Linked DNA regions of Rhinolophus ferrumequinum. The protein of the gene in region 3 interacts with the protein of the main gene of each other region in a pairwise test. Links are inferred from orthologs where the notes say so. Each region holds a gene or a part of one and is shown on either strand. Other genes may lie near its edges.

Region 1 (3,751 bases), on a different chromosome or scaffold from region 3:
ACCCCTTCTCACCAGTATCAGGGCTGCGGCCGCCAGCGCCACGCCGAGCACCGCGCCGAGCACCACGAGCTGCAGCGGGAGCGAAGCCATCCTCCGTGCGCCGGCTGCACCGCCGCCCTCCCCAGCACCTACACACATGCGGAAGCCGTCCCGCAGCCCCGCCTCCTGCAGGCGGAGAGGCTGCGCCCGCCGCCCACAGCGCCCTCGCGCGGCGAGAACACATTGGGTCTTGTCTGCCAGCCAGGCGCTCTGCTCCAGAGTTGCCAGAATTAGCACTACGTGAAAACAGAACGTCCACTTAATTTGAATTTCAGATAAGCAACTAAGTTTTTTTTGTAACAGCCTTATTGAAATATAAATCACATACCATTCAACCCACACATTTAAAAGTTTTTGGTATGTTACCTAACTTTTTAAAACTGAAATTTTTTTTTGCTATTTTTCCTATTTAAAATGCACAATCCAGTGCCATTAATTACATTCACAATTTTCTGCAACCATCATCACTATTTCTAAAACTTTCCCTGCTCCAGCCCCTGGTAACAACGACTAACATACACTATTTGGGGCTTACTCATAGTAAAAAATTACTCTTTGCTTATCTGACATTCAAATTTAATTGGATGTCCTTTATTTTATCTGGCAACCCCACCACGCAACCTACAATAAAAGCAGCTCCTGTGGAGCCCGCCCAAGGTCCTGAAAAGTGTAACCTGGTGCGGAGAATGAGCGCGAAGAAAATATATGTAATCTCCAGTGCTGAAGCAGGGAGCTCTTTACCTGGGAGAAGGAAAACCCAGGCATAACCTAAGAGGGGGCAGGAAAAGGACGCAGAAACACTGGATTAAGAACATTGGGATAATGCTTCACGCTCAATACTGGATTATTTGCTATAAGGTCGATTTTCTCTTAAACTCTTGAACTGTTTGTAAACAGAGAAGCTATCACTTCTATAACAGCAGACTCGTCAAAACGCGTAGAATGCAAAGAAACCTACAGGTGCGTCTGGCTAGTGACTGTTGAAGCGAAGGGTCGGGTCGCACCCTAGCGATGCCCTGGCCTTCTGCGTCTCCTGCAGCCGTAGAAGAGCGCTGGAGTCCGTGCGGAAAGCGGTGGCCCAGACGGCGCGCGGCACGTAGACAACAGTGTCCTTCCCCCAACCTCCGCGCAGGCGCAGGCGCAGGCGCAGGCGCAGTGTCCTACCCCCGCGCAGGCGCGCGGGCGGGAAGATGGCGGCTGGTTTCAAGTGAGTGTTGGCGGCGGCTGTGCGCGAGTTTGTATCCTGACGGATGGCGGCTTCCTTTAACCCTTAGCTGGGATTTTCTCACCTGGAGGCCACCCCACCATCTTCCCACTTTCTCTCGCGGAAGCAGGCGACGGGCGGGAGGACCTGGAGGTGGTTGTAGTGAAAGGAAAGGGGGCCTCTCCCCGGCACTAAGACGGGAAGATGGAAAAGAAGACTATACGTTGAGTTCAGTACCCGCTGCGGAGCGCGTGTGCCTTGTGTAGTGGACATTTAGCCCCAGGAGACAGCTGTATTTTAAAAAGTGTTGCATCAGAACCACGTGCCATTCTATTCTCCCTCCATAATTTATTTCTAAAAGGATTGTGCCTTGCACGGACGCTTTTAGCTAAGCTTTTTTGTGTGGCACTCTGGTGAAGCCTATAGATTTTCGTTCTCGGAGCCAAATTTTTAAAGGGATAAGTAGGATTCCGAAGAAAACCAAGTATATTGAAACACTTATCTATTTCTATAAATTCCCGAGTTCACGATACGGTGATGTACACATACTTGTTTTAAAATTAAACAAGATCTAGTGGGGAGTCTAGTAACTAGTGGAATTTCAAAGTAACTGAACCTACCTTCAATAACTATTAAGTAAAAACGAAAACATTTAATGTCTGTGGTTGTTAAGAGTCACAGGTATTGCTAATATTACCCAGTCAGAATTTAAGAATATGCTAAATTTCAGTTATAGGATGGTGAAAAATAAAGATGTAACTTTTTTTTTTGTGCCGAGAATCCCTGCTTCCGGGGGAGAGTGCCATTAACACCTGGATTAATCCTTTTAAAGAAGTCCAAGGGCTTTGGACTCCAGTCCTGAAATTGTTTAAGGCAGAGTTAAGGACAGTTGAGTGATTGCTACAGCAAGGGTATCTACTTCTTATAATTAGTTATGTGGCAACATAAGTGTCAGAATTTATGAAGGAAACAGTCACACATTGTGGAGATTTATACTGCATGACTACGTTTTTAAGATCTTTTACAGTTTCTGGATTTATATTAAGATTCATTAACTTACCTCGGATATATTGCTAACATTTCAGAACTGTGGAACCTCTGGAGTATTTCAGGAGATTTTTGGTGAGTAAAGGTGATTATGTACATGTTATAACTTTTGATAATAACATTTTTAAAGACATTTTTGACATACAAATATTGAATTGTTACATTGTACACCTGAAACTGTTATATGTCAATTATACCTAAAAAAAATTTCAAGTAATTTCAATTAACAAGGTTTAATGTGTTTTCCCTGGTTGTATGTAAAATATACATGTAGATGTAATCTTTCATATATATTTATTTAGAAAGAGAACTGCCGTCCTGATGGAAGAGAACTTGGTGAATTCAGAACCACAACTGTCAACATAGGTGAGTATATTTTGAATTCTAAAATAGAATGTTGAAGTTGCTTCAGTTTTGAAACTGGAATGTTTCTTGTTTTTTTAATACTAGTATTTTTATTTGTAGTTTGTTTTTTTTTAAGTCCTCTCAATTGATATGTTCTCCATTTTAAAGTAACTACAGAGCGTTCCCCCCTCCCCGCCCCTTCCTTCCAGATCTCTAAGACATGGTTTTATGTCTTAAACTTATTAAACTTTCTGTTACAAACATGGAGTTTTCCAGTTTTACCTGTGTGGCATTCCCAAGTTTTAGCCTCTAAGCCACTTAAACAGTATTTCAGCCAAATTCTACCATGTTTAAGAGATTCCAGTGATTTTTGTGTCAAGAGATTTTTACCTGTACAACAGTCCTGTGACTGAATGAAAAGGATTAACTCAAATTCAAAGACAGGTATATAATTCTTAAAACAGTAATCATACCACTTTAAAGAGTTGAGCTAGGAATAAATTTTCATAAACTAAGATATGTAACAAGATAAATGAAAACACTGTGGACTTTTTCATTTTGCTTGCTTATCTTTTCAGGTTCAATTAGTACTGCAGATGGTTCTGCTTTAGTGAAGCTGGGAAATACTACAGTGATTTGCGGAATTAAAGCGGTAGGTTTAATATGTCTTAATGAGATTTGAGTTGCCAAATTAGCTTCGTATACTTATTAGATTGTAATATACACTTTTAATTCTGTCGATTAGGCAAGTCAGATGTCAGTTTTTTAGTATTTGTTTTCATTTCCCAAGAGCTTTCATCTCTTATTGAATACGACCCGTTTAATGATTCAGTTGTAATTTAAGAACATCAAATGTACTGAAATCAAATAATGTATCAAATCCTCACCACCTTTAATTTTTTAAGAATTTGGTTGTGGGGGGGTATCACTTTGTGAGGGCTGTAAATACCTATTACATTGTTTTGTACATCTGAAACTAGTTTTTTTAAAAAATTTGATTATCATTTGAGAAATTAGTTTTTTGGTGACATCCTTTTATCCAGTGATGGCATTTAATCTGTGCAAATGTGTAAAAAATTGAGATCACTCAAAAGAAAAGCTTGACAGAATAGCTAC
Region 2 (3,751 bases), on a different chromosome or scaffold from region 3:
AACTCTATGACGACTCGCATCCGCATTTAAGGACCTTTGCAGTTGCTAGTCCCTCTTTTTAGAACATGCTTCATACAGCAGGTTTTTCTTAACTTTCAGGCCTTAGCACGATGGTCTTGTAAGAACCATCTCAGACCATCTTATCTAAAGTAACCCCCAAAGTCACTGTCACCTCCTCATTTTCTTTCTTCCATGGCACTCACCAGAATGTCAGCCCCAGGCAAAGGAGGTCATGTGTTTTTCTGAACTACTGTAGCACAGAGTTTAGCCCAGTGTCTCACACAGTGTGGTGAATGAATGAGTTTTGATAACCACTTACCAAACTGTAATTTTATTTAATCCAGTGAGAAAACCTTCCGAGGCAGGGCTACCTTTTCATGAAGCTTTCCGAATCTCCCCTCGTAACACTTACTTGCTGTGAGAACTCTGGCAAGTCCCTTAACCTCTCTGGGCCTCCGATTCCCTAAATATATGATGACAGTAACACCTTTTCAGGGTTCTTCCGAGGATTAAATAATACCCGTATGGTACCCAGCACAAGAATTTGGCATGTAGCGCATGTTATCAGCTGAGATGCCATTAGGCTGGGTGTTTCCCAAAGTGTGGCACCTGTGAAAGGTGTGCAAAATGTTTAGCGGTACAGAGCACTGAAGCTATCATCTTTTCAACGATTTAATTGGAAATAAGGTTGTGTTCTCGCCCTCATGTATCTTTGATTATCTCTTGCTATTCTTCCTATTTAACAGAAAGATCATTTCGGTTCAAAGACGCACACAACAGTTAACAGGTGAATTTAACATGGTTTTCCATTGTATTGCTGAAGCCAGAGCGCCAGGGCTTACACCCACCTCCCTCAGTCTGACTTCGAACTAGCGAAGGACCCTCCCTCTACCTCAGTTTCCTCAACTGCAACACGGGGATAAGAACAGTACCACCCTACAGGGTTATCGTGAACATAAAATGAACTATTACACGTCATGTGATGCAGAACATAGCCCGCCATCCGTGTTAGAAACACGTGAAAGAAAAGGATGGGGAGGCAACCGACTCAAAGGTCTCACGAGGACAACTGAGTCAACGACGCGCGACAGGACTGAGTCCGTAAGCGGGGTGGGACTCGCCACTGCCAGGCCCTGGGTCGCTCTGCCCCGTGCGGAGCCTGAGGGGCCGGGTTGAAGCCCTCAGGGGAAGGCAGCCGACAGCTCGCAGCGACCAGAGCTCCGCCCTCCTCCGGCTTCAGCCTCTCTGGGGTCTCCCTCCCGGCGTTAAGATTCTCTGCCCCCGTGGCGGGCGGTCGCGCCCTTACCCTGAGCTTCTAGGAGATGCATGCGCTCCCTGAGGCGACACGCGAAGAGCCCCTGACGCCTTCGCCCACGAGAAGCAGGGGCGGGGCCACAAGGCACGGAGACGCGCTCTACGTAAAATGACGCCGCTGCGTACGCAGCAGCGCGCGTGCGCAGTGGGGCTCCTGGAGGAGCGCGGGGCCTAGCGGAAGCCAGCATGGCAGCGGAGCGCAAGACCAAGTTGTCCAAGAACCTGCTGCGCATGAAGGTACAGGGACACTGGGGAGCCATGCCGGGAGGGTAAGGCCACCTGATTCTCCCGGCCTGGCCGAGGCCGAGGCACTGGGCGTGCGGGGGCGCCAGAGAAGCGCCGGAGGGCATCCACCTCTCGCGCTCATTCATTCCCTTAGCGTCTGCTCTGCGTTAGGCACTGGGAACCGGATTAGAAATCCGGCGTATTCTCTCTTAAAGCCGGCGGGTGGGAGACGCAGACACGTAAGCGAGCAGTTAGGATACAGCGTACTACGTGCGGTGACGCTGGAAGCGCCCGCACCTCGGGGAACTTAACGTGGGCTTCTGCGGGAAGTGGTCCTAGAGACTGAAGGGTAGGTGGGAGGGTGGGGAACCTAACAACATAAACTGCGGGAAGAGCGAGTTCAGAAGTTTGAGAGGCAAAAACCAAAAACCCATGGTGATTTTTAAGAACTAAAGATAATTCATTATGTCCTGAAGGCAAGTAGCAAGAAATGGGCCTGGAAATGTAGGCGGGTCATTAACATGCAGGAAATTTTAGGCCAGATTAAGGAGTTGTTTTCTTTACCTTGTGAGTGTTGGGAAGCTATGGAGCACAGGTAGCAGTTATCAGCTGTGCCTCTTACTTTTCAAGGTTACATTAACTGTCCTGTGAAGAATACGTTGGTGAAAGAAAGACTCGACAGGACAAAATTGCAGTCAAAAAGACCATCTAGAAGTTTAGATGATTTGAGTGAGGGGCACAGTGGCATTGCAATGGAATTATAACAGTTCAGGTGAAAGTGAGTTATGTCACCCAACGTTAAGCAAAATTGATTTTTATATTTCAGATTGGATCAATTTAACCAAATGTCAAAATGGCGGAAAAAGACAAGGATAGATAAAATAAATACAGGAATTAAAATAGGAAAAACAACCAATCCTTAAAACTTAAATAATAATAGCAAACATTTACAGTTCTTGCTGTGTGCCAGACACAGTTCTAAATGTTTTGCATGTATCAACTCAAGAAATCCATATACGGTGTTTCCCCGAAAATAAGACCTAACCAGACAATCAGCTCTGATGCACCTTTTGGAGCAAAAATTAATATAAGACCCGGTCTTATTTTACTATAATGTAAGACCGGGTCATATAATATAATATAATTAATATAATATAATATATACTGGGTCTAATATAGTATAAGAGCGGGTCTAATATGATATAAAATATAATATAATACCGTGTCTAATATAATAGAATTCCGGGTCTTACATTAATTTTTGCTCCAAAAGACGCATTAGAGCTGATTGTCCAGCTAGGTCTTATTTTCAGGGAAACACGGTGATAACTCTTGAGGTGAGTGCAGTTATTATCCTTCTCTAATAGTCATAGCAACTGAAACAGGGAAGTAATTTGCCCAAAGTTACTGCTTATAAGAAGTGTAAACAAGACTCAGACTCAGGCAGTTGGTACCAGAGCCCCTTGCTCTTAACTACTTCTGGTCGCTGAATACTTATAGATGTAAACTGTTAAATGTCGTGTTTAGAGAATTGTGGAATTTCCAAGAAGAGGAAGCAAGGCATAAATAATGTTTTGAAAGATTGGACAGTAAATATTGGATGGGCAAAATCTGAGTGGAGTTGAGCTAAGGTGTAACTAGGAATGGATAGGGTGAGGGTAGCGGGTAAATCATAGCATAATTTAGTTTCCAAAGTACTTCTTTCATGCATATTAGCAAACTTTGAATCTTTACTGAACAGTTTTCTTGTGGCTTATGGTATGTAATCATGTAGATTTCAAAGAAGTGAAGTGGATTGACAAAGCAGACCCTGAAAAGATTTTAGCAGTTGTTTTAGCTCTTGGATAAGTCAAATGAGGCCGTACTGGGTGATTAGGGCTCAGATCAAAGAGCCCTGACTTTGGAAGTAGGAATGAAGAAATTGACTAAAATTATTCACCTCTAACGCGAGTGGTTCAGAGAGACTCGACTACACATTGGAAGCAAAGGAGAGGGAAAAAAATACCCAGGTTCTCTATTTGGGTTAACAACTTCGGGCATTGATAAGAAAGAACTTATTGAAAGGCTAGCACGAGACACTATATATACAGACAGAGTGGAATGTTTTATGAGAAGGAATGAAGCAGCTGCCTGATGTTGCAGTATACAGTATAGCGCTTCAGCCAGAGCTAAGTATAGAGCAAGAAGGAGAGGGTGGAGGATTTAATCTTGA
Region 3 (3,751 bases):
ATCAGGCAGGAGTGGACTGACAACTCCACGACACGAAGGGGTGAGAAGGGCCACGTACAGGGTGTGAGCCACAGGTGGGGCTCTGAAACGACTACGCCACTGGGCAAGGCAGGAAAGCCTCATGGGAAGGGGGACATTTGCCGTGTGTCTCAAAGGATGCGCGGGAGCTTGTCATTTCAAGCAAGTGAGGACATTCTCGGCAGAAAAGAGGTGTCAAAGCGCAATATGGTGTAGAAGTGGTGAGTATTAACTTGAGCCGTATTAGATTGCTGGTATTCAGCCATGTTTTATATATAAAATGGTGGTTTCATAGTCACACCTCACAGGTCAGCAGGTCTACCTCAGTGGTCAGTGGGGAATAAAAAGAATAGGAACGAAAAGGAGGCCAGAAAGTAGAGTGGGGCCAGACTGGCCTGCCTCACAGTTCAACGGCAAGGAGTTTGAACCTGATACTGTGGACAGCAGGGAACCATGTGAGGTTCTAAAACAGGTAGAAGCTGCATCTTTCCTCCTCTGACAGTGGGTAATAGTACTAGGAGGAGGAGATGATGCATGTAAAGCACTCAGCACAGCCGGACAGGTGGCATTAGGTCAAACCGTATGAAACAGGTGCTCAGAAATATGAGTTGTTAAATGAACTAGGCTAGGCTTTTGTTCTGCCAGGGTGCCGGTGCACCCGAGGTACACAAGTGGGGGAAAACAGTAAAAAACAAGTATCCTGTTAATAGGATGTTCTGAATAACAATAAAAGCTAATATTTACTGAACACTACTAGGCCAAATGAATTGCATCAAGGGTGTGCCACCCCTGATCTTAGAATATATACCCACTGAGCTTCCCCAGTCCCTCCCCTGACCTGCCTAATGGTGCCTCCCTCGTAGAACACGAACGCTTCGAGGCATTCAGTTAGCAAATGTTTTGAGTTCCCACTACGTGGCTAAACAAGAGGGGTTCCGGGGGTGTAAAGGAGAGGAACACGTGACTGGAGGTGGAGGGCACAGGAGGTACGCAAGGTGGGAGCACACAGATGCCTTTTCCAGGAGTTTGCCTACCAGGGGCAAGAGAAAGGCGACGGTGGCTAGAAGGAGTGGGGTGGAGTAGTGCTTTTTCGTTTCGTCTGTTTAGTTGGGAGATGCCAGCATACGTGTAGGCTGTTAGGAACGGACCAGTAGCCAGGGAAAAGATAGATGATGCAGAGAACGGGGATAATTGCAAGAGCCAAGTTCAAGCGGGTAGGAGTGGCACGGAACCACAGCTTGGGAGGAGCTGGCTTTAAATATGAGGATAATTGGGTTCTCCGGGTCTCACCCTAAATCACAGGACTGTTGGGATGATATAATACGAGGTTAAAGAAAAATGTAAAGTTCCCTGGGTGGAGCGCTCAGGACCGTACTGCTCACGCACACGCCCCTTAAGATCCTGCCCGACGAAGACGACCTTTGCACATGCGTGGTGCGCGCACGTCGCGTCGGCCCGAGGCACTCTCGCGAGAAGAGCCGTGAATGCCGGAAAAATGGCGGTTCCCAGTCCCGGGGACTTGAAGGCCCCGCCGGCTACGAGCGCGGCTAAGTCCGACGAGGAGATGGTGCTGCCGGGATTTCCGGACGCGGACAGCTTCGTGAAGGTGAGTTCGCGGGGCCTCGGGGACGCCGTGAGCCTCCAGCGGCGGGCCGGAAGCAGGCCCGGGCCCTCTGGGCGGCCGCACGCGGAGCCCCGGGCGGGGATCGAGGGGCCGCTGCCCGCTCCAAGCAGTCTCTCACTTCACCCTCCGGGGATGGGGCCTCGCACGCGGACACTAAAGGTAGCCCCGCTTTCCAGTGCGTTCATTCTCCTAATTGAGCCCATGCAGCCCTGAGTGTGGAGCGCCCCCTCCACAGTGGGAAGGGCTTTCTTGTCACGCCGATGCCCCAGCCTTCGCGAGCTCGCCCCCGCCCGGGCCTGAGCCACCCAACCAACTCTCCCGAGGGGCTCGGCTGCTTTATGTTGCCTTCCTACATCCTCGCCTCCCGCGGCCAAGATAGTTTTTAGTGCCTCTTCTCACTCCTGAGGTCCAGTCCTACATAATCCCAAAACCTGGGTTTAAAGTCACCTGTGCAAGCTGTCACTGAGTCTCCCTCCTCTAGGTACCATAGAATATGTATCAATGCCTCCTCGAAAGAACACAGAGAGGGTTCGTTTAGTTATTTGTATAATGCTGCTTAAATATGAACAAACATAAAACTATTTTAAACGCCTTATGCATAGCTCTTATAAAATCATGAAACTAAAATAATTTTTAAATTAGCACTACAAATTCTCAAAAACTACACTCACATACCTACTTTATTGTTAGCAGATGCTATTATTAACTTATTTATTTGGCTTTGGTAGTTCCTGGACCACTAGCCATGGTCCTGATTGGGTGTGTTCATGCTTATAAGCTACCAGGTCTACCCCACCATAACTCAGATTCCTTTCTCTCTTCTTTTTCTTGGAAAACTTTTATTACGCAACTCACAGTGAAGGCATTTGGCCTTCACATGACCAACTATCTTTTTTATCTAGGACAACCACTTCAGGTTTTTTTCTCATTACCCCACAACAATTAAAACAGAGGACTACTTGGCACTAACTGAACCATAAACGTAAGTCCAGTTGTGGGCAGTAGCCATTATCAATTGGTCATCCAAAGGATCTAGAATATTCTTATATTGTTTTTAGATGCTCATCCAAATGAAAACACAAAACTTAATTCCTGTAGGAAACTCATGGATCTGAATTTGAGTAGTAATAGTAATAATAGCACTTCTGTGCCAGCAGCTATCCTAAGTGATTTTATTAGCTCATTTAATCCTTTCAACAACTCTATGGTGTTGGCACTTAAATAATGCCGATTTTTCAGAGGAGGAAACTGAGGTCCAAATAAATGAAATAATTTGCCCGAGATCACAGTTAATAGGTAGCCGAGCCACGATTCAAACCCAGGCCAGTTAGAATATTACTCATACGTGTATTTGTTCTTCCTCTCCCCACTCTCCCAAGAATGTAAGCTCTAGAACTTAGTTTTGTGTTCACCATTGTACCCTGAGGACCTGGGGTAAAATCAGCACTAAGTGAATATTTGTGGGATTGGATATCTTCATCATCGAGCACAATGTGTTACTATATATAATAGGTGTTGAAAAAAAAATGAGTTGCTGAGTGAATGGGGATCCATGTTTAAAACGTGCTTGGTTTTCTGGTTTTTGACAGTTTGCTCTTGGATCGGTGGTAGCAGTCACCAAAGCATCTGGGGGCCTACCACAGTTTGGCGATGAGTATGATTTTTACCGAAGTTTTCCTGGCTTTCAGGCATTTTGTGAAACACAGGGAGACAGGTTGCTTCAGTGGTAAGTGCTATATACTGTTTTCTTCTGTTGAAAGAAATGAATATAAAAAAGGAGGTAATTTTTCCTGAAATGTGTTTTTTCTGAACATAATTTTCAGAGCTATGGAAATGTAAAAATAAGACAGTGGATTTTGATTAGGGAAACTTGGTAAATTTTGAGTTTAACTTTTAAAATATCTTGACTTTTGCACCTACAGACAATGAATCTTTTTGAATTAATGTAGGACTTGAAAACCTAGATCCAAGATTCTCTCACAACTTGCGGAGCCACAAGTATTAGCCTTCTAATAAATGTATTAGGACAGACAGTACACAAACACTGATTTTTGTTTAGCTGTTCCATGACAGAATTAGGGAATGTTTTCGATTTCGTGTTAACACAGT

Evidence for each region.
Region 1: the proteins of EXOSC10 (region 3) and EXOSC8 interact in binary tests that used the Homo sapiens proteins (3 or more experiments, as listed by UniProt). The link is inferred for Rhinolophus ferrumequinum from reciprocal best matches to the Homo sapiens genes EXOSC10 and EXOSC8.
Region 2: the proteins of EXOSC10 (region 3) and MPHOSPH6 interact in binary tests that used the Homo sapiens proteins (3 or more experiments, as listed by UniProt). The link is inferred for Rhinolophus ferrumequinum from reciprocal best matches to the Homo sapiens genes EXOSC10 and MPHOSPH6.

Annotation. Positions count from the first base shown.
Region 1 is NC_046287.1:92,681,620-92,685,370, reverse strand, and holds the start of EXOSC8 (exosome complex component RRP43), read left to right. Parts: upstream 1-1,211; 5' UTR 1,212-1,229; coding exon 1,230-1,246; intron 1,247-2,328; coding exon 2,329-2,365; intron 2,366-2,592; coding exon 2,593-2,656; intron 2,657-3,213; coding exon 3,214-3,287; intron 3,288-3,751. Other genes in the region: ALG5 (dolichyl-phosphate beta-glucosyltransferase), read right to left, coding at 13-138. UniProt on the Homo sapiens protein: Non-catalytic component of the RNA exosome complex which has 3'->5' exoribonuclease activity and participates in a multitude of cellular RNA processing and degradation events.
Region 2 is NC_046298.1:28,029,336-28,033,086, reverse strand, and holds the start of MPHOSPH6 (M-phase phosphoprotein 6), read left to right. Parts: upstream 1-1,415; 5' UTR 1,416-1,500; coding exon 1,501-1,551; intron 1,552-3,751. UniProt on the Homo sapiens protein: RNA-binding protein that associates with the RNA exosome complex. Involved in the 3'-processing of the 7S pre-RNA to the mature 5.8S rRNA and play a role in recruiting the RNA exosome complex to pre-rRNA; this function may include C1D.
Region 3 is NC_046292.1:7,453,470-7,457,220, reverse strand, and holds the start of EXOSC10 (exosome component 10), read left to right. Parts: upstream 1-1,466; 5' UTR 1,467-1,513; coding exon 1,514-1,624; intron 1,625-3,231; coding exon 3,232-3,368; intron 3,369-3,751. UniProt on the Homo sapiens protein: Catalytic component of the RNA exosome complex which has 3'->5' exoribonuclease activity and participates in a multitude of cellular RNA processing and degradation events.